Linked DNA regions of Arabidopsis thaliana. The protein of the gene in region 1 interacts with the protein of each later gene in a pairwise test. Each region holds a gene or a part of one and is shown in the gene's direction. Other genes may lie near its edges.

Evidence for each region.
Region 2: the proteins of AT4G11860 (region 1) and AT5G67050 interact in a protein complementation assay, tested with the Arabidopsis thaliana proteins (one large-scale study listed by BioGRID).
Region 3: the proteins of AT4G11860 (region 1) and DIC3 interact in a protein complementation assay, tested with the Arabidopsis thaliana proteins (one large-scale study listed by BioGRID).
Region 4: the proteins of AT4G11860 (region 1) and AT4G30660 interact in a protein complementation assay, tested with the Arabidopsis thaliana proteins (one large-scale study listed by BioGRID).

Annotation. Positions count from the first base shown.
Region 1 is NC_003075.7:7,131,649-7,142,562, reverse strand, and holds AT4G11860 (FAM63A-like protein (DUF544)), read left to right. Parts: upstream 1-4,052; 5' UTR 4,053-4,201; coding exon 4,202-4,400; intron 4,401-4,751; coding exon 4,752-4,870; intron 4,871-4,959; coding exon 4,960-5,066; intron 5,067-5,147; coding exon 5,148-5,235; intron 5,236-5,573; coding exon 5,574-6,279; intron 6,280-6,434; coding exon 6,435-6,665; intron 6,666-6,826; coding exon 6,827-6,881; intron 6,882-6,970; coding exon 6,971-7,052; intron 7,053-7,138; coding exon 7,139-7,219; intron 7,220-7,352; coding exon 7,353-7,466; intron 7,467-7,560; coding exon 7,561-7,610; intron 7,611-7,744; coding exon 7,745-7,865; intron 7,866-8,230; coding exon 8,231-8,326; 3' UTR 8,327-8,667; downstream 8,668-10,914. Other genes in the region: AT4G11870 (uncharacterized protein), read left to right, coding at 1,844-2,068; PLDGAMMA1 (phospholipase D gamma 1), read left to right, coding at 9,626-10,588, 10,866-10,914.
Region 2 is NC_003076.8:26,756,351-26,764,086, reverse strand, and holds AT5G67050 (alpha/beta-Hydrolases superfamily protein), read left to right. Parts: upstream 1-2,889; 5' UTR 2,890-2,921; coding exon 2,922-3,219; intron 3,220-3,299; coding exon 3,300-3,530; intron 3,531-3,623; coding exon 3,624-4,258; intron 4,259-4,335; coding exon 4,336-4,605; 3' UTR 4,606-4,709; downstream 4,710-7,736. Other genes in the region: AT5G67040 (F-box protein, putative (DUF295)), read left to right, coding at 5,612-5,778, 5,861-6,191; ABA1 (zeaxanthin epoxidase (ZEP) (ABA1)), read left to right, coding at 6,997-7,502, 7,588-7,736.
Region 3 is NC_003076.8:2,946,521-2,954,075, reverse strand, and holds DIC3 (dicarboxylate carrier 3), read left to right. Parts: upstream 1-3,380; 5' UTR 3,381-3,562; coding exon 3,563-3,989; intron 3,990-4,248; coding exon 4,249-4,835; 3' UTR 4,836-4,944; downstream 4,945-7,555. Other genes in the region: AT5G09500 (Ribosomal protein S19 family protein), read left to right, coding at 1-32; AT5G09490 (Ribosomal protein S19 family protein), read left to right, coding at 893-895, 993-1,141, 1,229-1,286, 1,450-1,698; AT5G09480 (hydroxyproline-rich glycoprotein family protein), read left to right, coding at 2,461-2,895. UniProt on the Arabidopsis thaliana protein: PUMPS are mitochondrial transporter proteins that create proton leaks across the inner mitochondrial membrane, thus uncoupling oxidative phosphorylation.
Region 4 is NC_003075.7:14,951,285-14,958,040, forward strand, and holds AT4G30660 (Low temperature and salt responsive protein family), read left to right. Parts: upstream 1-4,094; 5' UTR 4,095-4,185; coding exon 4,186-4,275; exon of another isoform or gene 4,276-4,525; coding exon 4,526-4,660; 3' UTR 4,661-4,716; exon of another isoform or gene 4,717-4,876; 3' UTR 4,877-4,887; downstream 4,888-6,756. Other genes in the region: AT4G30630 (uncharacterized protein), read left to right, coding at 49-119, 231-591, 681-875; AT4G30640 (RNI-like superfamily protein), read left to right, coding at 1,386-1,750, 1,858-2,398; AT4G30650 (Low temperature and salt responsive protein family), read left to right, coding at 3,119-3,208, 3,283-3,414; AT4G30662 (uncharacterized protein), read right to left, coding at 4,899-5,246; AT4G30670 (Putative membrane lipoprotein), read right to left, coding at 6,313-6,621.

The DNA of each region.
Region 1 (10,914 bases):
ATTATAAAAGGATGACCAAAAAAAAAAAAGTAGATTAAAAAAGCTTAGCCGTTGAGATCATGACACGTGCCATTATTACCGACAACTTATAGATCCGGTGTCCGTCAAAGTGAGTTAAGCAAATGCACTTAAAGACAGGCAGCAACTCTGTCGGTTGCCAGCTCCTCTCGGACAAGAATCTTCACACTCTCCGTTTGATCTCCGTTACCAAAAACCACTTGAGGAATTCCTTTTTTTTTTTTTTTTGGAAAATATTTCATGAAAATTGACTATAAATTTTATGAAATAACATTAACGGTAAGAACATTGAGATCGAATTTGAAGGTAACTAATTTAGTTGGCATGAATAAAATATATTTAATATTCATTTCTATTACACTTTTGCTGGTATAATTTCTATATATGTTCATCAACGTTTGGATGTGCATATATGTGACCATGTCTGAGTCTAACTCTGTCCCAATCATAATTAGTTTTAGTTTTGCCTTGACATATAACTTTCTTATACATAGAGCTGAAAATGTACTTATTATATATGTAGTGTAGTCATGAATGGTGGTAACATACATTTAGCTAATTTTTTGCGGTGTACATATAGACTGCAATTTCATAGTTGTAATATTATCAATAATTCGTATACGTATACAGAATTATCAATACTAGCACTATTTATTTGTGGTCATAAAACCGTTTTCACAATACTTGTGGATTGTAAAACATAAACATATTCTCGATGGAGATGTCGTACGTCCACAAAACACCGAGCTAGCTCGGTTGCAAAAACCAAGCCATTTTGTAAACACAAGTCTATATATCATACAAATTAAGTCGGTAGAATTAGTCACAAAATGTGAGAAAAGCATGATTTTGTAAAACACAATTCTATCATTTCATACAAAGAAAAAGTCATACATATATATGCATTGAATTCCAAATTTAAATTTCTTACTATTTCTGACATATATATGAATCTGCATTTAGATGTCTATTGGTACGAGTTTTATTATAACAAAACCACACTCTTCCGATGACAAAGCGATAAAACAATGCTGCGTATTATGACTTCCGTACGACTTCACATGGTCACGCCATTCTCTCTTCTTTATTTGCGCTCATGGCCACTCCTTATTTGGTGCATTTCTAATTTCTCTACCCACTCCCTCATTTTTACTTTATTCTTCTCTTTTTTGCCCAAATTTATCATTTTTATATCTGTAATTATTGTTCTACTAGCACTTAGCAGGTGCTTAGCCACTATTGGATGCCTTAATTTTTTCAATTAATTAGCATTTATTCTGATTCATCTTTTTAAATCTCGATACAGGTGTTGCACGCTGTGAGGACCACAAGCATTAGCCAAAATATATACTGTATTAAAGTGTTGTTATATATTGTTTCTTTCTCATAATTATTTAGAATTTTGGAAATTGGTATGTGCATATGTATTACAAGCGAACGGATCTAATTTTTACTTGCTTCGTTTTCTTATGTGAACATATCCCAAATTTCAGTTGTAAACTTAAGTCGTTGTTGTTATTATTTTTTTGTTTGTTAAGGGTTGTTATTATTTTTAATGAGATATTATTATTGTTAATTTTTCCACTTTATCGAGTCAGCAAGCCTTATTTCGAACTTCGTGTAAGAGGTTACTGTGGCTTTGGACCACTATGCCATATGTGATTAATGAATGAGTCTTTTTTTTAATGTCTACTGTATACATCTTATTTTTCAATTAAAGAAAGCGTTAGTGTAAGAAAAAATTTATAACATATTTACAGTAAATAATTAAGAAAATAACACTATATATGTATCAATTAACTAACTAATCTAAAGGGTTTATTAAATGATTATAGGTGGTGGCGGTGACTCTGGCGACTGCAGCGGCTCCGGCGACGGCGGTGACTTCGGTGATGGCTCCGGCGACGGCGGCGACTCCGGCGCGACGGTGATTCCAGCGGTGACTCCAACAACGACGGTGGTTCCAGCGATAACTTCGGCGACAACGACGGTGACAGCTCCGACGATGGCAGTGACTCCAGTGACAATGGGAACCCCAACAATGGAGTAATGGCTCAGGTGATGGCATTCATTCCGGTAAGGACGGTAACGGCGGCAGTGGCGGCAGCGGCGGCGGTGACGTCGAAGGTGGCGGCAGTGGCAGCAGCAACAGTGGTGGTGGTGGTGATAATTATTGTGGGGGTGAGGACAAACTTGTAATATTATATATTACATAATTATTATAGTGTAAGTTTTTTGCAATAGATTAGTTTCTTAATTAATAAGTTTTTTTTAGGTTATACATGCAAATTTCGCTTATAAAAATAAAATGATCAAAAAGAAAAGAAAAGAATGAATTAGATATAATGAATACTGAGAACAAACGAAGATATATGAACAAAAAAGTTAAAAATGTTAAGTTTTATGGTTTCTAATTCGAAACTAGTTAACAATGAATAAAGAGATTTATATTTTTTATACACTAGTCAAGTCTATTCTATATTTTTAATGTGGAATTTTTTCTATACGCTTCTTGGAAATAATGTTTTTCTAGTTATTTCGACAGAATTTAGTTTTTTTTTGAACTATTAATTAGTAAAGATGACCAGACCACTTTCCGGACTGGATTAGTGAATCATGTGTTTTTGGACTCTGATACCATGTTAAGTTTTATTGGTTTTTAACTCAAAATTAATTGACAATAAATGGAAAGGTCTATATCTCTTATATACAACTCAAATCTATTAGATTGTGCGGTTTCAACTCAAAACTAATTGACAATAAGTGGAAAAACTCATAACTTATATATATACCACTTAAAATTATACTCAACTTCTAATGTGGAACAATATTCCTAATATGCCTCATTGAGATCGATGGTTTTTCTAGCCATTGATCACGATATATTTGGTATAGATCGATGGACCAACTACTAAACCGGACCGATGTGTATTGGGTTGAATATCGGCTGACTCAAAATGATGCAAAAGCCATATGCCTCGAAGTTTTATAATTGGATTTCATCATCTATACGCGTGATAGTATAACAATTAGGTTTCAAATGGCCTGTTGGGCTTTTAACTATTCAATTACAGCCCATATATATAGTCAACATTAAAAATACCAACACATTGTCATTGACATGTTTGTACAAGCGTGGTCAAACAGAAATGATGTTATTCTGCTGCTTCATCAATTTATCTCCCTTGTGAATTGAGATTGATGGTTATAATGTTATGTTACTAACATCTTAATATATAAAGTTTGGTTTCTCAAAATTAGTCATTAATGTGATAATTTATAAAACATAATTTCTACAGTATTTTCATGTTTTTAATAAAAATACATGCTTATATATTGAAGTGAAATAATTACTAAACGGAAAACAATTAAAGTGAAAAAACACACCATTGTTTAGACGCAGGCCACACTTTTATTTTGGTTCTGTTTTTCGATTTAAACCTCAAACCTCATAATTCTTTAAACATTCAAATTGTCCCACCGTTTTTATAGATTCCTTCTAGATCGTCAAACACTTATATTCTTCCTTTTCTTTTTGTCAACACATTCTGACATTCATATAACTTTTCGTGTAAAACTATAATATAAATAAATGTGATAAATACACTTCTAATTCTTTCGTAAATGATATATCAAGAAATTTCCCAAAATTTTTTAAAATGTTACGTGTTATAAAGAAATTAATTAGGAATAAAAAAACTATTAAAAGATGACTTTTAAGGAAATGAAATGACGGTGTTATGATAAGAAATGAAGAATTTTATCATTTAAATTGACCTTTCCCCGAGAAGATACGCACTAAAGATACCCAATTGGTTTATCAAAACCGTAATAATCGAACCATAATTCTTCTCATACATCAAATACCGGAATAAATTTGAAAAATTGGTCGTTACTATATTTGGTTCAATAGCAATTTAAACAATACCGGAATTTCGATTTGGTACGTACCGGTTTGGTTATGTGACACATTTCAATATCAACCTTCCCATAAAAGTTCTTTCTCGTAATATAAATTAAATCCTCTTTGCTCTCTCGCTCGCTTCCTCTTTTCGATTTGGATCAGAAAAAATAAAATTTCTTCGGAATTTCCAATAATCTGTCTCTCTTCTTCTTCGATCGAAAATTTGACTTTTTTTCGAATTTGTTTTTTCATTAGCTTTGGTTGATATCATCATCGTCAATGGCGACCGCTTCATCTTCAGAATCTCCGAGCGAAGAAACGCAGACGAATCAAGAAGCGATGCAGCAGCAAGATTTACCGAAGGAAACTACTACGGAGGAGGAGATTTTGTATAAGACGAAATCGATTCAGTTCCTTGGAAGAACCACACCTATCATTCTCCAGAACGAAAATGGACCTTGTCCTTTGTTAGCCATTTGTATGTTTCTATTTTCTCCTTTTTCGTCCTCATAAAACTTCATTCAGATCGTAAAAATAGGGTTTGGAAAGTGGAATTTCGGTGTTATGATCATTGATTCTTTAGGTTTGCGTTACTGATTTTGTGGAATTTGTAAAAGAAATTGAAGAATCGGTGTTAGGTTTGCTTGTTCCGTACAATGTAATGAATCATTGATTTGATGGTTAGTGTACCGAACATCAGATTTTGTTGTTAGCTTGAGCTTCTCGTAGAAATGACAAGTGTGAGAATTTGGTATTTAGTGTGCTTAATAATACTTAGATCAATTAACACTTTGATTACTGATTGTTATTTGATTTTGGGATGAAACAGGTAATGTGCTTCTCTTGAGAAACAACTTGAATCTAAATCCTGACTGTTATGAGGTTTCTCAAGAGAGATTGATGTCCCTCGTGGTCGACAGACTCATTGATTCCAATAGTAAAGTCAATGTAAATAAGCTGGCTTCTTATCTTTGCCTGTTCTTTATATTATCTTGTGGCTTGAATCTATGTGAATCTTTTATTCTTCTCAATGGCAGAACAAAGATGAAGGATATATTGAGAATCAGCAACAGAACATTGCTGATGCAATTGATCTTCTTCCACGCCTTACTACTGGAATTGATGTCAATATTAAATTCAGGAGGTTAATACTTTGTCAGCTGTTTCTGCTTATAATAGGTAGAAATTCATAAGTTAATTATCATGAGTGTTTACCTGGTTGCAGGATTGATGATTTTGAGTTCACACCTGAATGTGCAATATTTGATTTACTTGACATTCCCTTATATCATGGATGGATAGTTGATCCTCAGGTATATCATTTTGTTTCATACTTTATCAGAATGGCTCTGTCTGCGCGTAAATAATTAAATTTCATTAGTATAGGCTGTTGACGTTTTTTAATTTCGTTCCTGTCTTTTGTGTGTGGATGTTTGGGATGTGGGGTCATCTTCTCTTCTTTATCTTCTTGAGAGTTGAGAAACAAAACATAGGTTACTTTATTCTTTTTATCCATTGTTTGGCTCGTTTTAAGATGGATTGGAACAGTGGTCAAGAGCACTCATTTTAAGATGGTGTCCTTATCAATCCTGGGCCTGTAGTAAAACTGTAAAAGTATTGATTCAATTGTTTCCCATGTGCATACCTACAGGATGTTGAAGCAGCTAATGCAATTGGTAGCAAATCGTATAATGCTCTTATGGGTGAGCTAGTTGCACTGGAGACACAGAATGTAGAGGCTCAAGGCGATCAAAATCCCGGAGAAGATTCTGTTGATTTTGCTGCGGCAACTACTGCAGTTTTAGGGGTTCCTTCACCTTGTCTTTCGAAAACAAGATCTTTTGATGATTCTCCACCTGCGGCTGCAGAGCTTCGTAGAATGAGAAAGGGGGATCTTGAAGAAGAAACAGAGTTGTTGCAAGCCTTGCAGTTATCACAGGGGCAGGGGAATGATCCAACTCCAAACACTAACGGAGACTCAACCAATCAAGATTCTGCGTTCACATTTTCAGATGCGAGTCCAACTAGCACCCATATTACTAATATCAGTCAGCTAGACCAGTTCAAAACTGATGATGATAAAGCATCAGAAAATGATGGGAATATGATCAAAGTTGGGAAATTTCCGACAACGATTACAACTAAAAGTGAGGATCTTAACCATGATCAATTATCTTCTAAGCAATCTGGAGGTGAAACGGCTTGTGATGTTGAGAACGTGAGTAGCAGCAAAGAGGCCATTGTCGATGTAACTTCTTCTGAGGCACTCTCTGTGGATAAGGGTAATCTGGAGTCAGCGAAAAGTGAAAGCAGTTCTGAGAGTGTACTCAAGTCTGATGCAGCTTCTATTGATCCAGGTAGTTTTTTTGACTCTTCCTTAGTTGGTGTAACCTTATAGATGTCTCTATACATAAGTATAGTACTCCTCCATCTTAATCATTTTACTGGCTAAAATTGCATCTGAAGATATTAGATAGGAAAATTCTTACTCAGATACCCATTGCATCTCCAGATTTGAGTTGCAGATCCCAGCATGATGATGCACCCAACGCTTTTATCCCACCTGTATCTACCGATGAACCTATGTACGAAGGTGAGGAATGTGTAAACACAGTGCCTCCAGTTTGTGCAGACAAAGAACCCGTTTATGAAGGTGAGTCACTTCTTGGTAAAAGGGTTGAGAAGGATGTTGGTGATTGTTCTTCTGAAGGGAGGGCTACGGATGGGCTCACAGCAGAAGAAGGTAAATTATACTGTGTCTGATCTACTTGTGATACACTTGAAATACATTTTCGGAAACTCATACATGCATGCCATTGTGGTTAGAGCTGCTCTCTTTGCTCTAGTTCACATTTTTCCATATATTCTTGCAATTATTAAATAGTTGTTCTTGAGTTTTTCCAGGTGAACTAATCAGGAACTTTATGAAGAATAGTGCAAGTCAATTAACCTTTTGTGGGTGCGTGATCTTATTCATAGTTAGGAAGTTATATTTTAAATTGACTGCTCATGTATTATCTTACATTGATTATTGATCATATCTTACAGACTCTTTCGCTTGCAAGAAGGCCTCAAAGAACGTGAACTCTGTGTTTTTTTCCGGAACAATCATTTCTGCACCATGTTCAAGGTTTGTTTAGTTTGCGGTTATTTCCATCTTTGAATTGCAACAGGTTAATCCCAACTAAATTCTTCTTGTTGCTGTCATATTTTCAGTATGAAGGTGAACTTTATCTTTTGGCTACAGATCAAGGTTACCTGAATCAGCCTGATTTGGTTTGGGAAAAACTAAACGAGGTATCAGCAAAAGTTACTTACTCACCATTTGTCTTATCTGCTAATTTTGGCTTCTTAGGAGATATCTCTATATCCACAATCTCTTTAGAGCTATGGCTGTTGTGACCACTATTGACATGCAATCTGGTTTCAGGTTAATGGTGACACTGCATTCATGACTGCTACCTTCAAGGACTTCACGATCGACAGCAGCACAGGTGGTGCAAGTGGCACATGGGATGAACGAAACGCAGTCACAAATACTGCTGTATGTTCTCCTCATAATATAGTCACTAATCCACATTAGATCTCCTTCTTTTACCTTTTTAATCATTTTTTTTCTTTTGGTTCTCCCTACACAGGATTATCTTGCCAGCATCAACAATGTAGCGGATGCAGGCATAGATGTCAAGTAAATATTTCATACCTTTCTTTGACCACTAACCCATTGGTTCTCACCAGAGACACATTTATGCATTTGTTATAACTGTCCTCTTAAAAACATATTTATGATTGTTTAATTTTAATTCCCATGGTACTATGCAGTTCTGATCTGCAACTAGCAATAGCTTTGCAACAACAAGAGTTTGAGGACCAGAGCCCACGTAGTAACCCAACTCCACAACCAACTAGCGTTGCTGCCTCACGATTGGTCACTGGTCCACAGGTATTTCATTCCTACTCATAACACTATATTCTTAAAAAGCAGGAATCGACACAAATGGTTAACAATGATTATAAGAAAAGGTAAATTACCGTGTGACCTGCACATTGCAACAATATACAACACTGATTATTAAAATAGTAAGAGAGTATAGCCTTAACAAGCACATCTGCAAGTCCTGTTTAGTACATTTGTTTTCTGTCCATATACTTTACCGACTAAGATGAGTTTACAAGTACCAATTGCGAGTGTAAAACATCGATAATGATCATACACCGTAATCAGAAGCTCATTGAATATAATGCAGCCTTGCTTCTTGTGGTGTTTGGATGAATGTTAATGATCAGATATTGTACTGACCATTGCAGGTACCAAGGAGCAGCCACAGGCCATCATCAGCTGCGTCTTCGAGACACGACGGCAAATCCCCTAAAGATAAAGATAGCAAATGTAGAATCATGTAAATCCTCATTTCACTTATGTAAATTTCCAACTTTTTCTTATTCCCTAACTAATTTTAATCCTTAAAAGCTTTTTGGTTTTAACAAAAAATAAACTGTAATTGCGCTTTGACTAAACTATTTTTTGTTGCTCATAAAAAATCAGAGCTTTTCTTTATCCTTTTGAGAAGTGGGAGACGAATTAGAGTTTGTGTTCACGTTTTGGCTTTCGTTCTGTTAAGTTACTCTGATCGCCGTTACTTTTTTGACGGAGTAACGGCTATTGTCCGTGATGCCTTTTATAATAATTCTGCTTAGCCGGCTCGGTTTGACTAATCGCCAACTTTTTCAAGTTGTAATCGGAGAATGTGATTATTAATCCCTAATTAAAATACTTTTTATCTGCATTAGCTAATCATTTTGACTAGTTATAAACTTAAAATAATAAATAAATTATATCCTAATCCCTCAATTCGAATTTCAAACTAGTTTGTATTTCTTTACAAGTTCAACTTTTTTCTTTTCACTATAAGATAATGATGTGCTAAGACCACGACTGATAGATAATATGAATCCACTAGAGCTGTTGAAAATTATAGTTCAAAATTGAGGAAGACTTCAACAATGAAAATGTCTTCTCCATTGAAGAAAATGTCTTGATTTATTATTCAATACGCAATTATATGGTTTAATTTAGTGATTTTTCGAATGTTTACTTCTTGTTGATAATAAATATTAAATAGTAATATGATTTCATTTCAAGAAAATGTCATGCTTAATTATTACTTACACTATTAAGTCGAATGTTTAATTTCTAGTTGATATATAAAAATAGTAACATCACCACTCAAATGAAGTTGCATCAAAAGAGGGACCAGAGAGAAAGAGTTTCGTGAGCAGCCAACAACCAAAGTGGAAGTCCTCTTAGTCGTCGTTACTAAAAACAAATAATTTATTAGTTTAATTGAAGATTAATTTGTGTTATTAATGGCTAAAGTTAGAACGATTCAACAACGGCAGCCAATATCTTTAAAATGTTCCGATTCTTCCGTTTCAAGTCAACGTTCCCTTCGTTTCCTCCCACCTTCTTCTTCACAAAAATCTGAGATTTCATATAAATTTGCCCATATTTTTAGATCTCCATTTGATCTGAGTTTGTATTATCACAAAGTTTTATCTTCTTTTTTTTCACTCTTCAGTCTTGATCTCTCGATTATTGCCCACCAAGTGATCGATCTTTTGTCTCACTGAACTCGGTTACGCTTGAGATTTGATCTAACAGCTGAAAGTTTCTGACTTTTTGGGTTTTTGATTTCGATTTTCATGGCGTATCATCCGGCTTATACTGAGACTATGTCTATGGGAGGAGGGTCAAGCCATGGGGGCGGCCAGCAATACGTGCCGTTTGCTACGAGTAGTGGCTCTTTGAGGGTCGAATTGTTACATGGTAACTTAGACATTTGGGTTAAGGAAGCTAAACATCTTCCTAATATGGATGGTTTCCATAACAGACTTGGTGGGATGTTGTCTGGGTTAGGTCGGAAGAAAGTGGAAGGTGAGAAGTCTTCTAAGATCACTAGTGATCCTTATGTTACTGTCTCTATCTCTGGTGCTGTGATTGGTAGAACTTTTGTTATTAGCAATAGTGAGAATCCTGTGTGGATGCAGCATTTTGATGTACCGGTTGCTCATAGTGCTGCTGAAGTACATTTTGTTGTGAAAGATAGTGATATTATTGGATCACAGATCATGGGAGCTGTTGGAATCCCAACGGAGCAGCTGTGTTCGGGGAATAGGATCGAAGGGCTCTTTCCGATACTTAATAGTAGTGGGAAGCCTTGTAAACAAGGTGCTGTGTTGGGTTTGTCTATTCAATACACTCCAATGGAAAGAATGAGACTTTACCAAATGGGTGTTGGTTCTGGTAATGAGTGTGTAGGAGTTCCCGGTACATACTTCCCTTTGAGGAAAGGCGGTAGGGTTACTCTGTATCAGGATGCTCATGTTGATGACGGTACTCTTCCGAGTGTACATCTTGATGGTGGGATTCAGTATAGACATGGAAAGTGCTGGGAGGATATGGCTGATGCAATAAGGCAGGCAAGAAGGTTGATTTATATCACAGGTTGGTCAGTTTTCCATCCGGTTAGGCTGGTTCGTCGTACCAATGATCCCACCGAAGGTACATTAGGGGAGTTGCTTAAAGTCAAATCTCAAGAAGGTGTTAGAGTGTTGGTTTTGGTGTGGGACGATCCAACGTCAAGGAGTCTTCTGGGATTCAAAACAGTAAGAATCTACATAACTCTGTTGTTGCTTCTCTGTTTGCGTGAATGCTGAGTTAAAAAAATATGCAGGTTTAATACTATGTTCTTAATTTTTCGCATAGGTTTTTCTCTGTGTTTCTATTTAATCCGGCTAATGTTCCGTATCCAAAATAGATCCACGCTACTGTCTATCTTGTTGGAAAGCATGAGTTTGCTTCAGTTAGATCGTTTTACATGTCTGTACTAACTGAAGCAATGATCCTTCTATCGTTTTAATGAAAGCTTTTGTTTTGTTGTAGCAAGGAGTTATGAACACAAGCGATGAGGAGACTCGCCGTTTTTTCAAGC
Region 2 (7,736 bases), on another chromosome or scaffold:
CCGGTTTTAGTCCACTTTTTCACTTTTGCCCTACTCGCTACAATTAATACTCATCTGTTGTGAAAACTGTCTTCACTTATCGTCACATTTAATACTAATATTATAGGTATCAATGTAGCTTATTTTCACATTGTTGTTATGTGTTACTGATTATAAGTTTATAACTCACATCATTTCGAATTGGAAGCACTTTGTAATTATAATTTTTAAGTTAGTTAAATTCAAGGGAAATGTATAGTCTACAAACTTATGAAATTCAAAAACGAGAAGATAACATACGGGTCCATCTCGATTATTACAAAATTGGAAATTTTTCACAACTTTGTTTCATATAGTCTTGGGACTTTATTATGACCTTCGATTTGTTGTTCTCTTTTTTCTCTCTCGAAAGATCTGTGAAGAATCTATGTGACAGCACAGTGGGAACAAAGGATGAGTAAATAAAAAAGAAAAAAAAAACGTTAGAAGGACCACAGACATATATACATCGACATGTCTATAATATATGAATATGATTGGTTAACCTTTGCATGGTAGTGGCCAAGCTGTCTCTTAGTCCATTGTATGTTGATAATTCTGATATTGAACGATATTCGATGCAAATGGTTACAGATTCGATTGGTAAATGATAGCGTTGTAACTAGTTATGGTAACATCAATACAACTTATATGAGCACATCGCATGTCTTTGAGAGGCAAGGTCTAGTAGATACAAACATTCTAGTTAATAAGAAAAAGTTAAATAAAATCGTGCGATTATTACATTTAGTTGGTAGTTGGGTGATCCAATTACCAAAAAGAAATATACTGTATAAAAAATTGTTGTTTGATACTAAGTTAAACGATAATTAAGAATAAACCTTTTTGCATATATCCAAATTTGAATATCGGAAACAAATAGCATAGTTTAATTGTTTATTTGTTTAATAATGTGTAATGTACCAAAGCTGAGATAGGCTGCCTCCCAAGGCAAGGTAGCAATACAATCGTGTTCATGTCCCAAGCATCATCTATACTCGTTGCTCCACTAACAACCCACTTTATATTAATAATCAAATTGAATCAATATCAAATTATCAAAAAAATAATCAGTCCAATTATTTTCGCACAATCTAGCAAACAAATAAAATATTCACCCCATAGAATTTTACATTGTTGTTTGGTTATTGAAAATAAAAAATCGTCCCACGTGAGATATCCCACAAAGGTCCCAACATCACCACAGAGAGTCTCTGATCATTACAATATCCTTAAGATTAGATTTATATAGACATTTTCTTATAATATCTTCTTGGGCAAGTGCTCTGTATTCTTCTGACACATTTCTATCGTCTTCTTCTTTTTTTATTTATTCTTTTGTTTTCTCTTTGAAATATTGAAGAAATTTTGATATTTTTCCCCTTTCTTGTATTATCTTTTCTTCAATGCCTTTTTCCTCCTTCCTCTTCTCTATCTCTTTTTTTTTTTTGTTCCGGATAAATTCTCATGTTCTCCGTGACAGGATAAAGTTCATGCATTCTTCTCTGTTATCATTGGTGTTATTGTAATCTAATTATATAATTTCATACCAAATGCATGTAAACTAAACCATGCCAATCAAAAATGGGATCAAATAGTATTCGAGATAGTCAACTTTGATGGCATTATAAGGTTACCATATAATAGTAGGACAATTTAACTGCAAAATCGAACCAATTATATGTTTTAAAAAAAATTCCTCTGCAAAAAAGTCAAAATCTATATCTTAGAAGGTAGAAACGTCCTAAAACGAAAACGTAGACGTACTCATTTTTATGTAATTTGAAAGGATAAAAGTAGTAGAATTCGGAAAAGAATGGGGACAAGCAAATAGGTGGGATGATAAAGATTTTGATTTTATTGAATATAATATAGTATGCTTTTAAAATGGGTAGGTATTGTTGGGAATGCAGATCCCAATTTTATCTATTTTGGTTTTTGTATACTTTTTTTATATATATATCTTATTGATCTTTCTATTCTTTTTGGGTTTTGTTGATTTTCGGTATTTTGGTGCATTCTTTGACTACTCGCATCTAGTCTCTTGTGCTATGTTAAATGTACTCATTTATAATTTCCCGGTGCACCTCACACGACATATGAAAAACAAAACCATAATATAAGATAATGTTTTCATTTCGATGATATGGATATCAGAATATTTCCTCCTTTCGTTTATAGATTTGTAATTTGTAAAGTATCACGTACAATACCACTAATATGCATCCATATACGATCATATCAGTATATATATATATATATAATATGTATACATTGTTTTGGTTCTTGGTAAACAGACAAATATCAATGATTCAACAGATCTAGTTGTTAGAATTTTAATCAACGGATATATCATCAGAAAAGAAAAATTATGTTCAAACTAACGTCTTTTGTTAATTTAGTCCTATAGGTTTACATAATTATATATGTTTAGTTATACATTTTGATAAATGTTGTACCATTTTTATTTAAATTATGATCAAATTGTTAATTTGAAAATATAATTTTTAAAATGGTATAATTCACATGGCCTTATTGTGGGAAAAGAAAAAGTTGGGTTGAAAGATCACTATTCAATGGGCACATAACCTATATTGTCAGCCCACAAATAGGCCCACTATATTATAGGTTACCGTTGGGGATTTTTTTTTTTGTTAGAGATGAAAACTCTCAGAAATTTTAAAATTTTCCAAAACATTAAACCCACGTGAAAAATTCATATTCCAAAACCAAATGTGTAGATCACTGTTGCAAAAAAAAAACAAATCTCGTTTTCCACAACTCCAAGTATATTCCAAATCTACAATACGGTCCATTCTAACATTATAAATAGAGTTATACGTACATAAATAATTGCATTCGTACAATATTCTAGTACTATACTAACACAAAATCGAATCAACATGATGAACAGCGACGATGACGATGAACCGAGAGGATATCTGATTCTCCGACCGGAAGAGCTCCGGCCATGGGAACTTGTTCGTTTGTTATTCTCCGGAGATATAGAGAAACCGAGATCAGTGGATAGCTCGGAAACCGAAGAACACAGTTTCCGACATCGATGGCTTATCTTTGTCTCTCTCGTCCTTCTCAAGCTTCTTCGATTCTTCTCCAAGCTTTTAGCTCTCGTTGGCTCCGCCTTAGAATTCTCTTTAAACTTCCTCTCCAATAACTCTTTCTCCGGTCTCTTCCTTCGAGGTATTGATGTTTTCCGTTTATTCGTCTCTAATAACAATTACAATTTACAATTAATACTAATTTTGTGGATATGTATGCAGGAGAAGTGGTGATGCCGCAACGGACATCGGAGAATTATCAGTCATTTATCGGACATTTAGACACGAGGGTAAGTTTAGACATGACGTTGAATCGTGAAGATGGAGAGAAATACTATGCTGCATTGTCCATTATGGCTTCAAAAATTGCCTACGAAAACGCAGCCCGTATTAAACATGTCGTCGAGAATCACTGGAATATGAAGTATTTAGGTCTCGTTGACTATTGGAACGGTATGATTATATAATAAAAGAAATCTTAGTAATTTAATCTTATTTACAATTTAATCATATTTTTATAAAGTTTTTTTTTGTGGTTGAAAACAGAGTACCAAGAAAAGGAAACAACACAAGCCTTTATAATGTCTACTGACGAAACAACAACAAGATCCAACGGTCAAGAAACGACGGTGGTGGTTGCATTTAGAGGCACAGAACTGTTTAATTCCGAAGATTGGTGTTCAGATTTCGACATTACATGGTTTGAGCTCCCAAACATTGGGAATATCCATGGTGGTTTCATGAAAGCTCTAGGGCTTCAAAACAATTGTAGTTGGCCTAAAGAACCTCTCTCAAACCCTGATCGAAAATCCCCTTTAGCTTACTACTCAATAAGAGACTCTTTGAAAACTCTGATCGCTCAAAACAAAAACACCAAGTTTGTTCTGACCGGTCATAGCTTAGGAGGAGCCCTCGCGATATTGTTCACGGCTGTGCTTGTGATTCACCACGAGACCGAGTTGTTGGAGAGGATTCAAGGGGTGTATACTTATGGACAGCCTAGGGTTGGAGATTCCAAGTTTGGTGAATTTATGGAGAAGAAATTAGAAAAATATAATATAAAGTATTATAGATTTGTTTATAATAACGACATTGTTCCAAGATTGCCGTACGATGATAAGGATTTGATGTTCAAACACTTTGGCACTTGCATCTACTACGACCAGAACTATCAAGCAAAGGTTTACATCTATCTATCTATCTATATATTCACACTTGAAAATATAAACTGACGACCAATATTTTTTGTGACTTATAGGTAATGAGAGAGCAATCGGACGAAAACTTTTTCTTGTTGCGAGGGATTATAAAGATGATGTGGAGTGCTATATTGGAGTTTATAAGAAGCTTCACTATAGTGGCTGAGAAGGGCTCGGAGTACAGTGAAGGATGGTTGTTGAAGGGTGGTAGGGCTTTGGGGATTATAGTCCCTGGTGTTTCAAATCATACACCTCAAGATTATGTGAATGCCACTAGATTAACCCTTCCTTGTGTTTTCCAAGTCTATAGAGATGTATCCATAACATAAAAGGGTTTATCTTTGTAATTATTGAATAAAATGTTTATACAATAAAGTGGTTTCTGGTGGTAGAGTCTCAAGAAACCTTCTGGCGGAAAATGCAATTCTTTCTTGGTAAACTCACAAAAACAGAGCCACTCTGTTTTTAATTTATTCTTATGGAAATTGCGAAATCTGAATTTTTTTGCATCTCTTTGTGTGTTTGCAGAAGAATTCTAGAGTTGTGAGTATTAATGGGTATGAAGATGTTCCTAGAAAAGACGAGACGGCGTTGAAGAGAGTAATTTTCATACCAACCGGTTAGCGTAGCTTCAAGCAAAGCCTATTGTTCTCATCATCATGAAGTGAATTCTTCTCATCTTCTCTTCTCTTTCCATTCCAAGCCAAAAGCGATTCCTTTGCTTCAGTCCCAAGTCTCTCAGCCTCTAGAGCTCTGTTTCCAAATCATCCATTGTATTGCTTCTTTCTCGTCATCGCTGCACCAGTCCCTGGTTTAAGTTCGGTCTCAACAGATTTCATCTCTTCTAACAAATCATATATCCTTAGCAAACATGAGCCTGTGCTTCTACAAGACTGTCCTTAGTTGATTCCATCTCATTATTGCTCTAGTTTCCTCGTAAGTCTAAACTAAGTGAAAAAGGGGAAATAACAAACACAAAAAGAATTTTAGAAAAAGGAAACATCAACGAATGCGTGAAAAAAGGAAAGTTTGAAATTCCCAAACAAAGTCTATATATACAGAGAGAGAGTTATAGAGTAAGAAAGATGCATTTTCTCTGATTTCACCATTACCTTGTTCAATTTCTCTAAGTTTTTCATCTCTAAGTTTTCTCTGATGTTCCAAGACTTTACTGTGGCTGCAAAGTTCTGTGGAAGTCATCTAAGTGTATGCAAGCCTTGTTGGGACTCAAAGTGGACTCACATTGAGACCTCGTTACCTCTATATCCAGCCTATAATATCATGTTTTCCAAGAGAGACAAAGCTTTCTACTTCACAAGTGTTAAGGGTCTTTACATGGGTTCACTGCATCTCAACAGCAACAACAACAAGCTCAAGTATCAAAAACTGCGCCTCTCCAACCTCCCCAAGATTCCTGACGCAGGTCGGGAGATGTTGGATCAATGTTTCATGAGCAAGCACTTGGTGGAATCTCCCTCTGGTGAACTTTTCTTGGTCAACTGGTAAGTTTGTCTATTAAGAGGCTAGCTACTTTTGGATAAATTCAAAGTAGAGATTGAGCTGCTTTCTTCTCTTTATGCGCAGGTACGCACAATGCATTCACACAGAGGAAAAAGACGGAGAAGTGGAAGGTCTCCACAGCAAAACCAAGCGGTTCATGGTCTTTAGGGAAGATGAGAAGAGCAAAGACTTTAGTTACACGGAAGATATTGGAGATCTCTGCATCTTCCTTGGCGCAAGTGAAGCGTTCTGCCTCACGGCAAGCATGTACCCGGGGCTTAAACCTAACTCTATCTATTACATTGGCCATGGTCTTGGTTCATACGATCTAACCTCTGGTACGGTCCATTCCTTTTACCCTCCTCATGCACCAATGCTCAACCATGTTCCTTACTGGATCCCTTCTCATCTCTGAGCTCTAGCCTCTAGGCTATGGGTTTGTTTTACGGTCTTTATGCATCTACTCTCTACTTACTACTGTTGAGTGTTCTTTTGTTAACTACTACTTTCTGGATCCCTACTCTTTATGTTATAACCAGGTGACACAATATTATTAGTCCACATCGTATTTGACTCTTCCGTCACCATTCACGCCCATCTTAATGGGCTTGTGTTATTTTCTATGAGCCGTTATTTTGGCCCAATAAAATGTGCAGCTTAGTACCTATAAAAGACCATTTGATTTTATGATGATGAAAAATACTATTATAACAGATTTATTTCGTCGACATATCACAATTAAATTTAAGATTTATATATTAAAGAAAAAAGTTGTGACACGTCAACCAAAAGTTAAAATAAAAATCAATTTAGTGGCTTAAAATGGGGATAAGAAAACAATATTGAAAATTGATGATTTATCCACTCACAATCCAAAAAAAATCCACCACAAGCGCTGATCACGTCACGTTCAAATATTTTTACCAAACATTTCTAAATATATTGATTAGTTTATTAAATGAATTTCTAATGGAGGAGAGAAAAGACATGTCAACATCAGAAGGCGATATTTGTAGGCACTCAGAGATGAAGTGTGTTGCGTTGCTGATGCCACCTGTCTCCTCCTCCTCCATCATTTGCCTCCTTCTTCTTCAAACCAATTTCTTCTTCTTCTTCTCTCAGGTTTGAGTCTGAGGCATCACAACAGATAAAGTCTTGAACTTTGATCAAGAATTCTAAACGGAGTTTTTGCTCTTCTCGTCGGTGAAAGAAAAATCGAGATGGGTTCAACTCCGTTTTGCTACTCTATCAATCCATCTCCATCAAAGCTTGATTTCACGAGGACCCATGTGTTTAGTCCTGTTTCTAAACAGTTTTACTTAGATTTATCATCGTTTTCCGGAAAACCCGGAGGAGTATCTGGGTTTAGGAGCCGTCGAGCTTTGCTCGGAGTAAAGGCGGCGACGGCGTTAGTTGAGAAGGAGGAGAAGAGAGAGGCGGTGACGGAGAAGAAGAAGAAATCGAGGGTTTTAGTTGCCGGAGGTGGAATCGGAGGATTGGTGTTTGCTTTAGCGGCTAAGAAGAAAGGATTCGATGTGTTAGTGTTTGAGAAAGATTTGAGTGCTATAAGAGGAGAAGGAAAATACAGAGGCCCGATTCAAATACAGAGCAACGCTTTAGCTGCTTTGGAAGCTATTGATATTGAAGTTGCTGAACAAGTTATGGAAGCTGGGTGTATCACTGGTGATCGGATTAACGGTCTCGTTGATGGTATCTCTGGTACTTGGTGAGTTTCCCTGAGATCTCTTGATTGAGTAGCCAATCAGATTATTGGAAACTTGTGGTGATATTTTTGTTTGTGAATCAATTAGGTATGTAAAGTTTGATACTTTCACTCCTGCGGCGTCACGGGGACTTCCTGTGACTAGAGTAATTAGTAGAATGACTCTGCAGCAGATTCTAGCACGTGCGGTTGGAGAAGATGTGATTAGAAACGAGAGTAATGTTGTTGATTTTGAAG
Region 3 (7,555 bases), on another chromosome or scaffold:
CCAATTCCTCCAGATTTATCCCTCTCAAGTGAATAATCAAGCTCTTGTGGAGTTTTGTTATGCTCTAAATTCGAGTCTTTCGTTTCTTTTTCTTTTAGAACATTTTGTCTTTCTTTTTCTCTTCTCTCCTTTAGATTTTGTTCAAACTCTTGTTCATGCCTTCAAATAATACAGAGCTTTTTATTTATAATCTATTAAACTTTGCTCTGTTTATTGAGTATTACTTTAAATTTAGAAAATAATTCAGGATTTATAGATAGATATCTTTCAATTGCATTTTTAAACTGCATATATTAACTTCAAAAAAAAAAAAAAATCAATATCTGGATTGCTTAGTTTTTTTTCTTTGTATTGCAGATCGATGGTTGTATATTGAAAATAAAAAATAACACAATGACCCTATTTATAAATAGAAGAAAATTTCAATTTCTTTTTTGAAATTCACAAACTATATATCTATTTCTATAAGATATCTGTACATAATTTCCTTGTATTTCGAAGATAAATACAAAATGTATGACCAATTTTATCCTAAATCAGTTAATTTTACATTAAACTAATAATTAAGTTTTGATTTTTTGGGGGAAAATTGTGTATTTATATGTTTTAATTATCAGTTTTTATAAGGTAAGAAAAAAAGAAGTTTTTCTATTATAAGGGAAGAAAAATATTTAAATATTGATTCATATGTTATTTTAGAAAGACAATAATGTAATAATTGGTAAATATTTATTGACGTTTCCTTAAACAGAAACACTGTAGGATCTATAATACATCTGTGTATATATATATATATATATATATATATTGGGTGCCAAGTTATGTCTCTTGTCGTATCTCCATAGCAAAACCCTAGTTGCAGTCACTTTCCCGGCTTCTCAAACCAAGAACAATGGTTAGTTTCTTGATCTCCATCTCTTTAAACCTTAATTATTCGATTGTTAGATCCTTGAACCCATCATGGTCTTAAATTTCTCTGTCGAAATCCGTAGGCTGAAGTCGAACCAGATGTTTCCGCAGCTGCTCTTGCGAAGAAGAGAACGTTCAAAAAGTTTTCCTTCAAAGGAGTCGATCTCGATGCTCTTCTTGACATGCCCACTGATGATCTTGTCGAGCTCTTCCCTTCCCGTATAAGAAGAAGGTTTTGATCCCACCAAAAATTTTGGTAGATTATATAACTCTTGTTTTAAATGATTGGTTTTGTTTAATTATGTTGATTATTTTGTAGGATGAGTAGAGGATTAACGAGGAAGCCTATGGCTCTCATCAAGAAATTGCGCAAAGCGGTAAAACTCTAACTTTCCAATATAAATCTCTGTTGTTATTGTGTCATAGTTGTTATTAGTCTGTGATCTCCCAACATAACAATAATTTTAGTTAGGATCTGCCTTTTGATTGGTTGGCTTTGATTATTATAATAACACTAGTCTCTAATTTACTTTAAACCAGAAACTAGATGCACCAGCTGGTGAGAAGCCCGAAGTAGTGAGAACCCATCTAAGGAACATGGTGATTATGCCTGAAATGATTGGAAGCATCATTGGTGTGTACAATGGAAAGACTTTTAACCAAATCGAGATCAAACCGGAGATGATTGGACATTACCTTGCGGAATTCTCAATCACTTACAAACCCGTTAGGCACGGCAAGCCCGGTCATGGTGCTACACACTCCTCTAGGTTTATCCCTCTCAAGTGAAGCCATTTCAAGACTTCATTCTGCTTTTACAATTTCTTTTGTTTTGCTCATCTAAATCTATCTTCTTATCATCATGTCTCTGACACTCTAGTGTCTTTAAACTTTTCTTATTATCGTAAAAAAAATTCTTGGTGATTTTCTCTATAATACTTAATACCATTATGAGTTTGGACTTGAGTTAGTCTTTAATTTTTTTTTTTTTTTATCTCAGTCTTATTTTTTATTTTATTTTATAAGTCTTAAAATTATTTGATTTTGATCCTTATATATTTTAATAATCTACATAATGCGTAAAAATACACTTTTCACTTGAAACGGTTACAAGATAAAATAATAAAATCATATGTAAATGTATTAATAATGAATGTTCACAGGTAAAGAAGGGGTGATGCATATGAGACGTAAAATACAATATAGGTATTGCTAACTTTAAGATTTCTTGTAATGTTTAGTATCAATAGCTTTAAAACAAGTATATATATTAGGTTCGAAAGTAAACTTAAAAGGGGTTATACAACTAAGACGTATAATGAAATATAGGTGAGTTTGTTGAAGACTAACATCACATTCTCACAATCGTGCAGTGAGATCTTCTCACCAAATTTTTTTGACTCTTATGAATCTACATTCTAAGATCTCTCTCATCTCAATATTATTTAAGAAACCATTCTGTAAACAATATATAGCAAAACACAAACTCTCTATACTCACAACATTGTTTAACTCATCTTTCTAAGTTGGTTTCGATTCAAGAATATCACAATGACTAATGTTCGCCTTCCTATTCTCGTCTCCTCGGTCTTGTTCCTTGTCTTTATTTCATCGTCCCTCTTGTTCCCTACACCTAGTTTTGCTGCTAGAGTAAGTCATTCTCTGGTGCAAGAAGAGGTCAAAAAGGTTCCAGAATACACAGAACCTGAGGAGCCGGAAGTTCCAGAAGAGCCGGAGCTGCCCTCACCGGAGGAGCCTGAGATTCCAGAAGAGCCTGAGATTCCAGAAGAGCCTGAGGTTCCTGGAGAACCCGAAGTTCCTGAAGAGCCCGAAGAACCAGAAGAGCCAGAAGGGTCAACATTTGAATTTCCATCATGGTTTCCGAGCTTTCCTATTCCCGGTGTTAATGGCGGTTTGCCAAAGACTGAAAAGACAAAACCTACATCAACAGTTGAAGAGGTTAACGTTTCTAACAAGAAGCCATAGATCAATGGGTAAAGAACGTCAAATGATTATATAAACTATATATGCAATTATAGTTTTGGTTTGTGTTTGGTTAAAGATGAGAGATTACATATGTATTACAGTATTAGAGTCCTCACCATGTCATGATTGAGTCTCTAAACGCTCCTGATATAATCTCGTACTAATTCTCTCTTGTAATATGTATATCTCTTGTGGTACAAAAAATATATATATAACTCTTAAGTAAATCATGTAATGTAAGATATTTAATTAAAGATATAATGTGTCAATTGTCGGTGTATATGACGTTCGTCTTAATGAAACATCAAATTTTATGAGTAGATGTTAGATATAGAACATTGGTTTCATTGACCAATATTGGTTTATTCCTCTAGCTTCAATTATTCTTTTTCTGTAATGCCAAGGTGTGCATCAAGACAAAACAAGAAACATTGTGCTAAAAGCTGGAACCCGTAATTCAGGACTAGTACACAAACACAACTACTCGTTGCATTATTTTCTTCTCAAGTAGTTTGTCTTCTTCCATTCCAACTTGTTCAATTTCATTTCTTCTTCTCCAAACATTTTATTACAAAAGATCTATTATCTCCCAAACTCTTCTTTTCTTTCAATTCCCATTCCTCAAAACATTCTCTCCTTACAATAAAATCCTCCGGTAATCGTTTCAATGGGCTTCAAACCATTTCTTGAAGGTGGCATCGCCGCAATCATCGCCGGAGCTCTGACTCACCCATTAGACCTCATCAAAGTCCGTATGCAGCTTCAAGGCGAACATTCTTTCTCGCTCGACCAAAACCCTAACCCTAATCTTAGCCTTGATCATAATCTTCCCGTGAAACCTTACCGACCCGTTTTCGCTCTTGACTCTCTCATCGGCAGCATTTCCTTATTACCCTTACACATTCACGCGCCGTCTTCTTCCACGCGCTCCGTCATGACCCCTTTCGCCGTAGGGGCACACATTGTCAAAACCGAAGGACCCGCCGCTCTCTTCTCCGGCGTCTCCGCCACCATCCTCCGTCAGATGCTTTACTCTGCCACCCGTATGGGTATATACGACTTTCTTAAACGAAGGTGGACTGATCAACTCACCGGTAATAATACTAAACTCGATCGGCAACAATATTACTCAAAAAATAATTTTGGTTTTTATTCGGTTTGGTTTGGTTTGATTACACTAAAAGTCGTTTACAGTTCTCGGTTATTGGTTTTAAATAAGAAAACCAATGGATTTATAAACAAATGCTGGTTCGGTTTCGATCTTAAACAGTTTCGGTTTGTTTGGTTCGAATTTTTTCCATATTATTACACAAAAGATCAAATAAATTAAACGTAAACGATAATTCCAAACAGGTAACTTCCCATTGGTAACCAAGATCACAGCTGGACTCATCGCAGGAGCCGTTGGATCAGTCGTCGGGAATCCTGCTGACGTGGCGATGGTGAGAATGCAAGCCGACGGAAGCTTGCCGTTAAACCGTCGCAGAAACTACAAGAGCGTCGTGGACGCGATCGACAGGATCGCAAGGCAAGAAGGCGTTTCAAGTTTATGGCGTGGCTCATGGCTAACCGTGAACCGTGCCATGATCGTGACAGCTTCTCAGCTCGCTACGTATGATCACGTCAAAGAAATCTTGGTAGCTGGTGGCCGTGGAACGCCGGGAGGGATAGGAACGCATGTAGCGGCGAGTTTTGCGGCGGGGATCGTCGCGGCGGTGGCGTCGAATCCCATCGACGTTGTGAAGACGAGGATGATGAATGCGGATAAGGAGATTTACGGTGGACCGTTGGATTGTGCGGTGAAGATGGTGGCAGAGGAAGGACCAATGGCTTTGTACAAAGGGCTTGTTCCGACGGCGACGAGGCAAGGACCGTTCACGATGATCTTGTTCCTTACCTTGGAACAAGTTCGTGGTCTGTTAAAAGACGTTAAATTTTGATTAATTTTTTTCAAGTAGTTAGGTTAATAAATGTTTGAGATTCCCATATTTCTTCATACATTTCATATACGTTTAAAATATTTTGAAAATAATTATATAGCGATTAAGGTAATATTTACTAGAGATTTTTGTATAAAAATAAATTATTTATTTGCACAAATATTTTTTTTAGTAAATGCGAAAACTGATAGTGATTGAAGCAAAGGGACTTTTTCGGACGGTCCAAGTCTCTTGGACTTGGGGGATATACTTTTGCTGGGGACCTTCATTTGGTATATTCCTTTTTTTCTTTGGGTACTATGTTCTATTTTCTTGGTTGACAGAAAATATGAAATATCGCTTCTAAATTACAATTTCTTTTGTTTGTTTGTAAAAATCTAAATTAGAAATTATGCAAAAAATTATAAGAAAATAAGATTAACAATAATGTTTTTCTTTTATTGACTTTGATCATATTATCTCTATAAAAGAGAAATAAAATCTTTCTAAAGTTTTTTTACTTGAGTTTGAAGCTGGTGGCAATTTGGTGTTTGTTTTATGAGATTGTATAAGAGTTATCCAAAGCTGAGACATGGCCCAAAATAAGTCCAAGGCCATGTTTAGGCTCCATTTTGCATGGCCACTCCACTCATCTAACCAAAGCCCAGTCTCAATTATGTGAACTGAAATTTCTATGTTTTGTTTTTTCACACTGAAATTTCTATCTAACTGTCTTTCTTTTAACATGTTTCAATGATTTGCTTCCGAATAGAACACATAATAATTGTTTCCTAAAATTTTAAGAATTTTGAAGTACATAGTAGGCATTTGGGTCCACTGATCTCACACGGCAACGACTATTCTCAAATCTCATATCACATCAAAATAAAGAAAAAAGATTCAACGAGAAATTAAAATCTTTAGAAAAAATGTTCCAAAAAGAAAAAGAAGTCATCAAGGCAATTAAGCACTTAATTCCCTGTGCATTTTTTTAATCATTCACTTGCGTCTCTTTCTCTTTTTCTTTTTTTTTCTTCTTTCACCAAACTTGCTTACCTCTTTATTCGTTTTCTTTTCTTTCTCCTATGATCATGGAATTTGGTGGATGCTCCAACGTTTTTCACCTCAATCACTTATTAAAATATCATGTACAATAGTTCGTAATTATATATGAAAAAACGAGTGGGCTAAATTGGTGTTTTATAAGCCACGTCAAAAATATTGTATTATTTAGCTAGCTACTAAACTAGTCAAATATGTTACAATGTATATAGTTCAATTTGTATCGCGTCATCGTAAAGACATAAATGTTCCAAATCATCCCACCCACACACCTAAAAAGAAAGGTTAATACTTTAAAAATAATGATTATAGAAACCACCAAAATGGTTAAAAACTCACTTCCACTATTTGGCTCATAATTATAAAGAAAAAACGTTGCCCCCCCCCCCAAAAAAAAAAAAAAAGTTAAAAAGAAGACGAACATATAATGGCTTTACTTTAACGAACTACTAAGAAATTCTCACGTTTATGATATTACATAATTATTAATTTATGGCTTGAAATTATGGATCGCGAGGGTTTGCCATTATACATCATAATTACATATATTCTACGTTCCACCTCCTCTACTCCTCGTCCCATTGCAACCATCCAAACTAATAAAAATATTTAGATTATTTCTACCATTCAATTCAAAATTATATGCATTTTAAATTATACTATATGTATTTTCTAAAATAAATTTAAATTGAACTGAATTAAATAAATTTAATTTTTCTTTATAAAAAATATGTGTTAGAAATATGAATTGAAACTCATACTAAAGTGTATTTTAGTTTTAATTTCTACTAAAAAGAATAGTAAAAAATCAAAATAATAAGACTATATCCAATGTTCAATTCTATTTTTTCTTCTATTTTAAAATTGACTCTATTTTAAAGGTATTTTATTTCATTGTATGACTCTAAAATAAAGTTTTCTCTAAAATAGAAAACAAATATAGAGTAAGTTGTCTTTTGTTCTATTTATAGAGTAATCTCTACATTTTTCTTCTATTTTAGTAGTAACTCTATTCTAAAATATATAATAGAGTAAAATTAATTATATTTCTTCTTAAATTGAGTTAATATTAAAATAGAAGAAAATAAAGTTGGGCAATGGAGATGGTGTTATGTTTTGCTCAAATGAGTTTTTAGAGTTGATGTTCCAGCTTGGTTATCTAAATTTTGGAAGAGAAAGAAAAATGAAAAAAAAAAAAAAAAAATCTGAAATAAACTTGGTTGATGTGAACTGTTTTTTTCTTTTTCTTTTTCTTTTCCTGGTCTCCATTATTGACGGTAAATAAAGTGGTGGAAAAGGGTAAAATCGTCACAAGAAATAAGAAGATGTATAAAGCAATGTCACACACTTCAGTCTTCACGCCCACTTTTAGTGAATTTGCTAAAAATATATTTTCGAAATAATATTCCGCTTTCTCGTTTCTTATCCGTTCAAGCTTTCGTGAATTCGTCTCATAAACCTCTCCACTCTCTCTGGATCTCCACGCATAGATCTTCCTCTGTTTTCCTCCATGTACGCTTCTTGGATTCACTTAACCATTGTTTGTCGCTGTGCTCTCTCTGTTTTTTTATTCCTCGAAAAAGTTGAATTATCAGCGAATTTGATGCAAATGTGTTTAAATCGTTACCAAAACGGATAAATTCTTCTATTTTCGTAGCTTGGCTTGCAAAATCCAAGCT
Region 4 (6,756 bases), 7.8 Mb from region 1:
GGGAAGAAGTAAAGTTTTGAAATTTGTTTCCTTATCTCGTTTTCTCAGGAATTAGAGATAAAGAGAAAGAGATTGGAGATGATTAAACAAAAGAGATTGACCCTCAAGTCAGAAGTTAGGTATGATCTCTGATCTTCTTGTCAATTTACGTGTTTAGCGTGTATTAACTTACATGATCCAAGCTTTTGTACATTCATTAGCTTATTGAGTTTTTGATGATCAAACGATAGGTTCTTGAGACGTAGATACGAGCACTTGAAGCAAGATCAAACTCTTGAAACCTCTCCAGAGATGTTGAGATTGTCAGAATCCGGGGGTTTAGAGGTCCCAAGGAAACCAAGTGGCGAAAGAAAGAAGCAGTCTGGTGTGAGAGCATCTGTACCATGTTTTGATTTGAAACTGAAGAATACAATTTGCAATGAGAAGGAAGCATTGGCTAATAATGTTGCAAGTTGTGACTTGGATAAGAAGCGAAAAAGGAGCAGAGGAAGCGATGTTTTGACATTCCCCGTTTCACTTCCTGACCTTAACGGAGAGGGAAACACTTCTGGCACTGACAAAGTCCCTGGCTTTGACCTAAACCAGATCTCGGTAAAGCCAAACAACTTGTGTTATTTTAGTGTCTTCCTTTTGGTAGAGTCTATAGAACTTTATTAGTTTGATTTGTGTTTTGGTTGTAGAGAGAAGAAGAGGAGCCGGAAGTGAATGGTGAACATATGGTCGCGGAAGCAATGAAGAATGCAATGCTTGATAACAGGATCAGTGATCTACATGTTGAAAGAAAGTTACCCATTTGCGGAGATGTGGAGAAAGAGTTAAATAGAGCAGTGAAGAGGAAGGTTACATGGCAAGATCCAGTGGCTTTAAGTGTTTAGGGTGTTTAGTATGAAATAGGATTTGAGATAATGATTTGTCGTCCCAATATGCACATATGCTTATACAAGTATATAGATATAAGATTTGATTTGATGACTTAGAAAGTCATTACTTCCATATGTCCAACATAGGAAAACCTTTGAATAATAACTCTTGTCATAAGTGACTACATTATCCTTTTAATCCAATTTGGTAATTAGGGAATCTCATTTGTTGTTGGATGTTCTTACTCATTCTCTTAATCAAAGTCGAGGAGCAGAACCGTTTTGCTCCAACTTCAAACTGACAGAACATTAATATAAACTGGATATCAAAATTGGAAAGGTTACTAATGACCAATAAAAAAAAGCTCTGTTTTGTAATAGGTAAAGAGCATGCTTGATTATAGAAGCTGAAAAAGTCTCAGCATTTTTGTTTCCATTGACTACATTTATTCCATTGACGATAAAAAAAAGTCTCAACATTTCAAGTCTATTCGTACTCAAAACGACGAAGCGTTCTTCAATCCTATGGAAGTCAACGGCGGGGAAGGAAAGGTGGAGATGGGATCGGGACTCTACCCTGACTGGTCTGAGTTGACTCGAGAATGTCTTCTTGACATCTTCTCACGGCTAAGCCAGGAACAAAGATGGATTGGACCGATGCTGGTCAGCAAGAACTGGATGAACGCATGCTATGACCCGACACTAAACACCATCTTCGACCTCGAAACTCGGTTTCTGTCGTTCCCTGAGTCGATCAACTGGTGGACTCCCGAGTTTGAGGATAAAGTCGATTCATTTCTCCGATCTGTTGTTGATCGGAGTGAAGGAGGTCTCACAGAGATTCGGATCAGGCATTGTACAGAACGCTCTCTATCTTACGCCGCCGAGAGGTACGTATCACTTTTCGTGATAATTCTCAGTTTTAGCTTGAGTCCATAGAGGTTAATCGCAGAGTTTTGATAGAATGAATAAAATGTCATGTGGTTTCCATTTGCAGGTGCCCTAATCTAGAGGTACTTTGGATAAAGAACTGCCCAAATGTTACAGATGCGTCAATGGAGAAGATAGCTATGAACTGTCCAAATCTTAGAGAACTTGATATAAGCTACTCTTATGGCATAACTCACGAGTCTCTGATAACATTGGGGAGGAGTTGCCAAAATTTAAAGATTCTGAAACGGAATTTGTTGCCCCGGCTAGGTCCTAGCCTGCCAACAATCGTCGCGCCACTAGACTATCTGGCTACATTTCCTAGATATGGGAATATAGAGGCTAGAATAATTGGGAAATACATGACACAGCTCAAGCATTTGGAGATTCGATACTCCACATTGACTGCTAGAGGACTTGACTCGGTTTGTAAGGGATGTTCGAATCTAGAGTACATGGACTTACGCGGATGTATATCATTGACCAGAAGTGATATAAACACTAATACGTCGGGCTTGAAGAATTTGACGGAGATCATTAAGCCGGATTTCAATCCTCCGATTGCTGTTTTACGCGTTCCAAGACCTGGTAATCCAAGAGAGGAATGATGGTGTTTGGTTTTTGTTGGACGCACGTTTTGATCAACTTGTTGACCGGTTTTTATGCTCAGAGCTTCCTCTATGGCATTTTTTACTCTGTTCTTATCTATGTTTGAATTCCTAAAACAATGTGAAACCCTTTTTCTTTGTGAGTTTGTCTTGTCACTAAATTCCCAACTTTTGGTGTGTTCTATTAATATTCTTCATTGCTTTAGGTCTGAATCATAGTGTTAAGTGAAATAAACATTGAGGGAAATGGGTTAAGTAAATGTACTGAGATAGCTTGCCATCTAAGCAAGCAACAGAAAAATTGGGCTAATCAAAGTCCGGTCCCGGAAACAATAGAAGACAGGCCTTCTAGGCCAACTTAGTCACGTGATCCATTAACCGTACGATAAGGGGGCGAGTCAGAGTAATAATATCCCACAATGATCAGGTGTGTTGTGTTGCACCATACCTTGCGTGTTCTTGAGATGAAAATATCTAAAGAGTGGGGGCAAGGTAAGGTAATTTTACGAGATGTCGGCATGTAAGCTGAAGCCGTACGATTTATATACCAAACAAATAAACGGTGCAGATCTCGTAGTTGACTTGGTAGCGCCAAAAATAAAAAGCCGTGGATTGCTCTTTTAATTGGATCTCTGTGCTACCGACTACTTTCAGTGTTCTCTTCTTCTCCACTAATTCAGATCACATTCAAGAATCTTCTTCACTCACATCTCTGAAAAAATGGCGAGCAACATGGAAGTTTTCTGCGAGATCTTAATCGCGATCCTTCTTCCACCTCTTGGAGTTTGTCTCAAACGTGGCTGTTGCACTGTAAGTTATTGGAATTTTGGAATCATGAATCTTGAGATTTAGTTTAGAAAATCTGACTCTTAGTTTTTTTGCAGGTAGAGTTCTTGATTTGCTTGGTGCTGACAATCTTAGGATACATCCCAGGGATAATTTATGCACTATACGTGATCGTGTTTCAAAACCGTGAAGGCTCTACCGAACTTGGAGCTCCACTTAACTCAGCTTGATCTGTTTTGGTCCATTACACGGATCAATATGTTGTTGAAACTGTTTTACTTATCATGTACCAAATAATAAGTTGCTTTGCAATTTTTATGTATTGAAGATTTGAGAACATTGTCGCGTTATTGATACATTGCTTATCTTTTTGATGTATAACTTGTTGGCTTTTGCAAAGTCAGGCTACGGACCTTCCTAAGAGTTAATGTATCAAATTCTTTGCCAAGATTGTATTTACCGGAGTTTAAACTTCGCAAAATGCGGAAGCATTTTTGAGTTTGAAAGGATTTTGTATGATGCCAACATATATTATGGTATAGATTATGCTAAAAAAGATAGATTTCTGTTACTTTGGCAAATAATGACAATGATTGTGAGTTGAGGAATCAAAGTCTCAGTAATACGACACCGTTTGAGTCAAAACGTTTCTGTCCAATTCCAGTCTGGTCCCGGGATTAATAAAATAGACAGGCCTTCCCAGGCCCATTTAGTCACATGGATGAGTCAGAGACTAAAATATCTAAAAGTGATCTGATGTGATAAGGGTGCACCATATCGTTCGTTGTGATTCACGAGATGTAATCTAAAGCCGTACGATTTAAATATCAATAAATGAACGGTGCAGATCTCGCACATTGACTTTGTAGTGGAAACAAAATAAAACGTGGACTGATCTCTCTTCATTGGTACTCTCAACTCTGTGACAGCAAGTTTCAGTGTTTTGTCTTTTAAAAAAACTCTTAAAGCTTCTTCTTCTCTCATCTCATCTCTCTGAAAAAATGCCGAGCAACTGTGAGATTCTGTGCGAGATCATTATCGCGATCCTTCTTCCTCCTCTCGGAGTTTGCTTCAGGAAAGGATGCTGCACTGTAAGTTCTCTCTCTCTCTCTTTCGAATTCCTCAATTTTGAAGAATCCTGGAACTTCTTATAGAGACTGTAATTTTGGATTGATTATAATGTAATTTGGTATGAGTAATGAAGGGAGTGCTTAATCTATGATATGAATCGCAGAAATTCTCTGGATTGGATCAATTTATGTTTGATTCATTGATTCCTGAAAGCTTGGATAATCATTTGAAGAAAGTTGAATTTTTTTTATGTGTGGTTTGTTTTGGCAGGTGGAGTTTTTGATATGCCTGGTGTTGACGATCTTAGGCTATGTCCCGGGGATAATATATGCGATTTACGTGATTGTGTTTCAGCACCGTGAAGAGTACTTTGATGAATACAGACGCCCCATCTACTCTGCTTGATTTCTGTTTCTTTGGAACTGTGTTGCTTTGACTTGTACCAATAAAGTTGCTTTGCAGTTGTTTTCAGAGATTTGAAAACGTTTGTGTGTCATTTATATGCAATATTGAAAGTTTCTTCTGTTATCAGCTTATGAACCCTCCTGCTATGTGTGCTTATGCATCAGGTTGTTGACATAGTGTTTTCGCAAGGCACAAATTAAATTATTAAATTGAAAGGTTAAAAAAAAAAAGAGTTTAATTAGAAGGCGAAGAACATCAACAGAATTGAGCTCGCGACCGTGGAACCGTAGCGCAATGCCATCGAGAGACAAGGTCGACTAGTAGCGGATGATCCACCCGCACCATGACCACTACTGGGGACACGACGGTGGCTACGACCACCACCACGACTACCACCACCAACACCACCAAAACGAGCTTTCCTCATGAAAACTCGAAGAGAGTCATGATGATCCAACGGATTGGAGTCACCGTGTTGTGCAAGTCTTCGTTCACTCTCCTTATTTTCAGATGAAATTGGCAAAGGCTGAGAGAGTAACAATAGGAGTACAATCAATGAACAAGAAAATGCCAGTGAAGTCCTCATTTCTGTTTTATCAAATAATATGTGTGTATATACATGTATCTGATCGAAAAAAATCAGAAATATGTGTTAATTTTACAATGATGGGACGCATTATGTGTGCAAAAGAATTAGTATTTATAATATCGCTAGGCTTAGGTAACGAAACGACCATGGCTTAAACATGGGCTACTTCTTCTTTGAAATGATGTTTAATACTATTATTGTATTTAACTATTGGGATACTTATTACTTATTAGCAAAGAAACTTTCCTTTTGCCAGCAACAAAGAAAGTTTCCGAGAGGCAAAATCTAATTACGTAAGGGAGGATCATGATTAATTAAGCCTAATGGGTAACAGACCCAAATGTTATTATTTATCGTTTTCTTATGTGAAATGGAATTTAGTGAATTTCCAACGTAAGGCAAATAGTGGTCGAAGGGAAATGGTGCCTAGTAGTTAGTTCTAATTGTAACTGAATTTGATTGAATTCATGTAGTAGATGTTTTAAAGAGGTTGTTGTTAATGGTAAGAATAAACAAAGGAACAATGTTCACTATACCTGCATTCTCTCTCCACTCAGTCTTCAAAATAATTGATCGTGAGATTAAGAACACTATCACCGCCAAAAAAATCAAAGGGGTCACTTCTGAAATCTTATGGCTGCGATAAACTGGCCCGAGATTTTCCCACATAAGTTTGTTTTCTTGTTTTTTACTCTTTTTTTTTTTTGGCCAAGTACACAATTGTATAGGTTTAACCAAAGTGTAAGTTCTGATTATTCATATTAATGATATTTACAATTTAGCAAACAAACAAAAAAATTCCAAAAATAGTCGCATGTAGTTGTGTGTCAATGATAAATTGTCTTAGACAATCAGTTATTATTCATTAAACAAAACAACTGGAACCACAATATTAGACAAACCAGATCAGACAACTTTTCAAACATTGAAGACTTACAAACTCAATCTTTGCCGGAAAAGAAAACAAATCGTTAAACTCGATCGGAAATACAAACTCAAACAAACACGCAAATTCAAGCCATTTGACAAATAAAATAAAAAAGTCGCAACCTGTTATCTTGGATTAAAATGCGGCGAGCAATAAAACAAAGGAACTCACAACAGTAGATACATAGGTAAATGGGTTAGAGAGAAGGGTTCGAGTGGCTGCTGATTTGTCCTTCTTCTTCTTGCTCTTGCTTTTGCTTTTCCTCACGAAGACTCGAAGATGGTCGTGGTGATGACCGGATGACCCTTCCTTGTTCTCTTCATGTTCAACTAGTTCCCGACCCAAAGGAGTGATCGTATGGCGTCCGCATGAAATTATGAGGGATTGAGAAAGTAACAAGAGGGAGATGATCAAAAACCAACCAAGAAGAGAAGAAGTTCTCATCTTTTTCTTATTCTTTAAACAAAATTGAATAGAAAATATATTTATCTTGTGTTTTTTGAACTTATGAGTGTGTCTGTGTATTTATAGATTTGTGTGAAAGTAGTTGTACCATACTCTCTTCTTCGTGCACGCAAC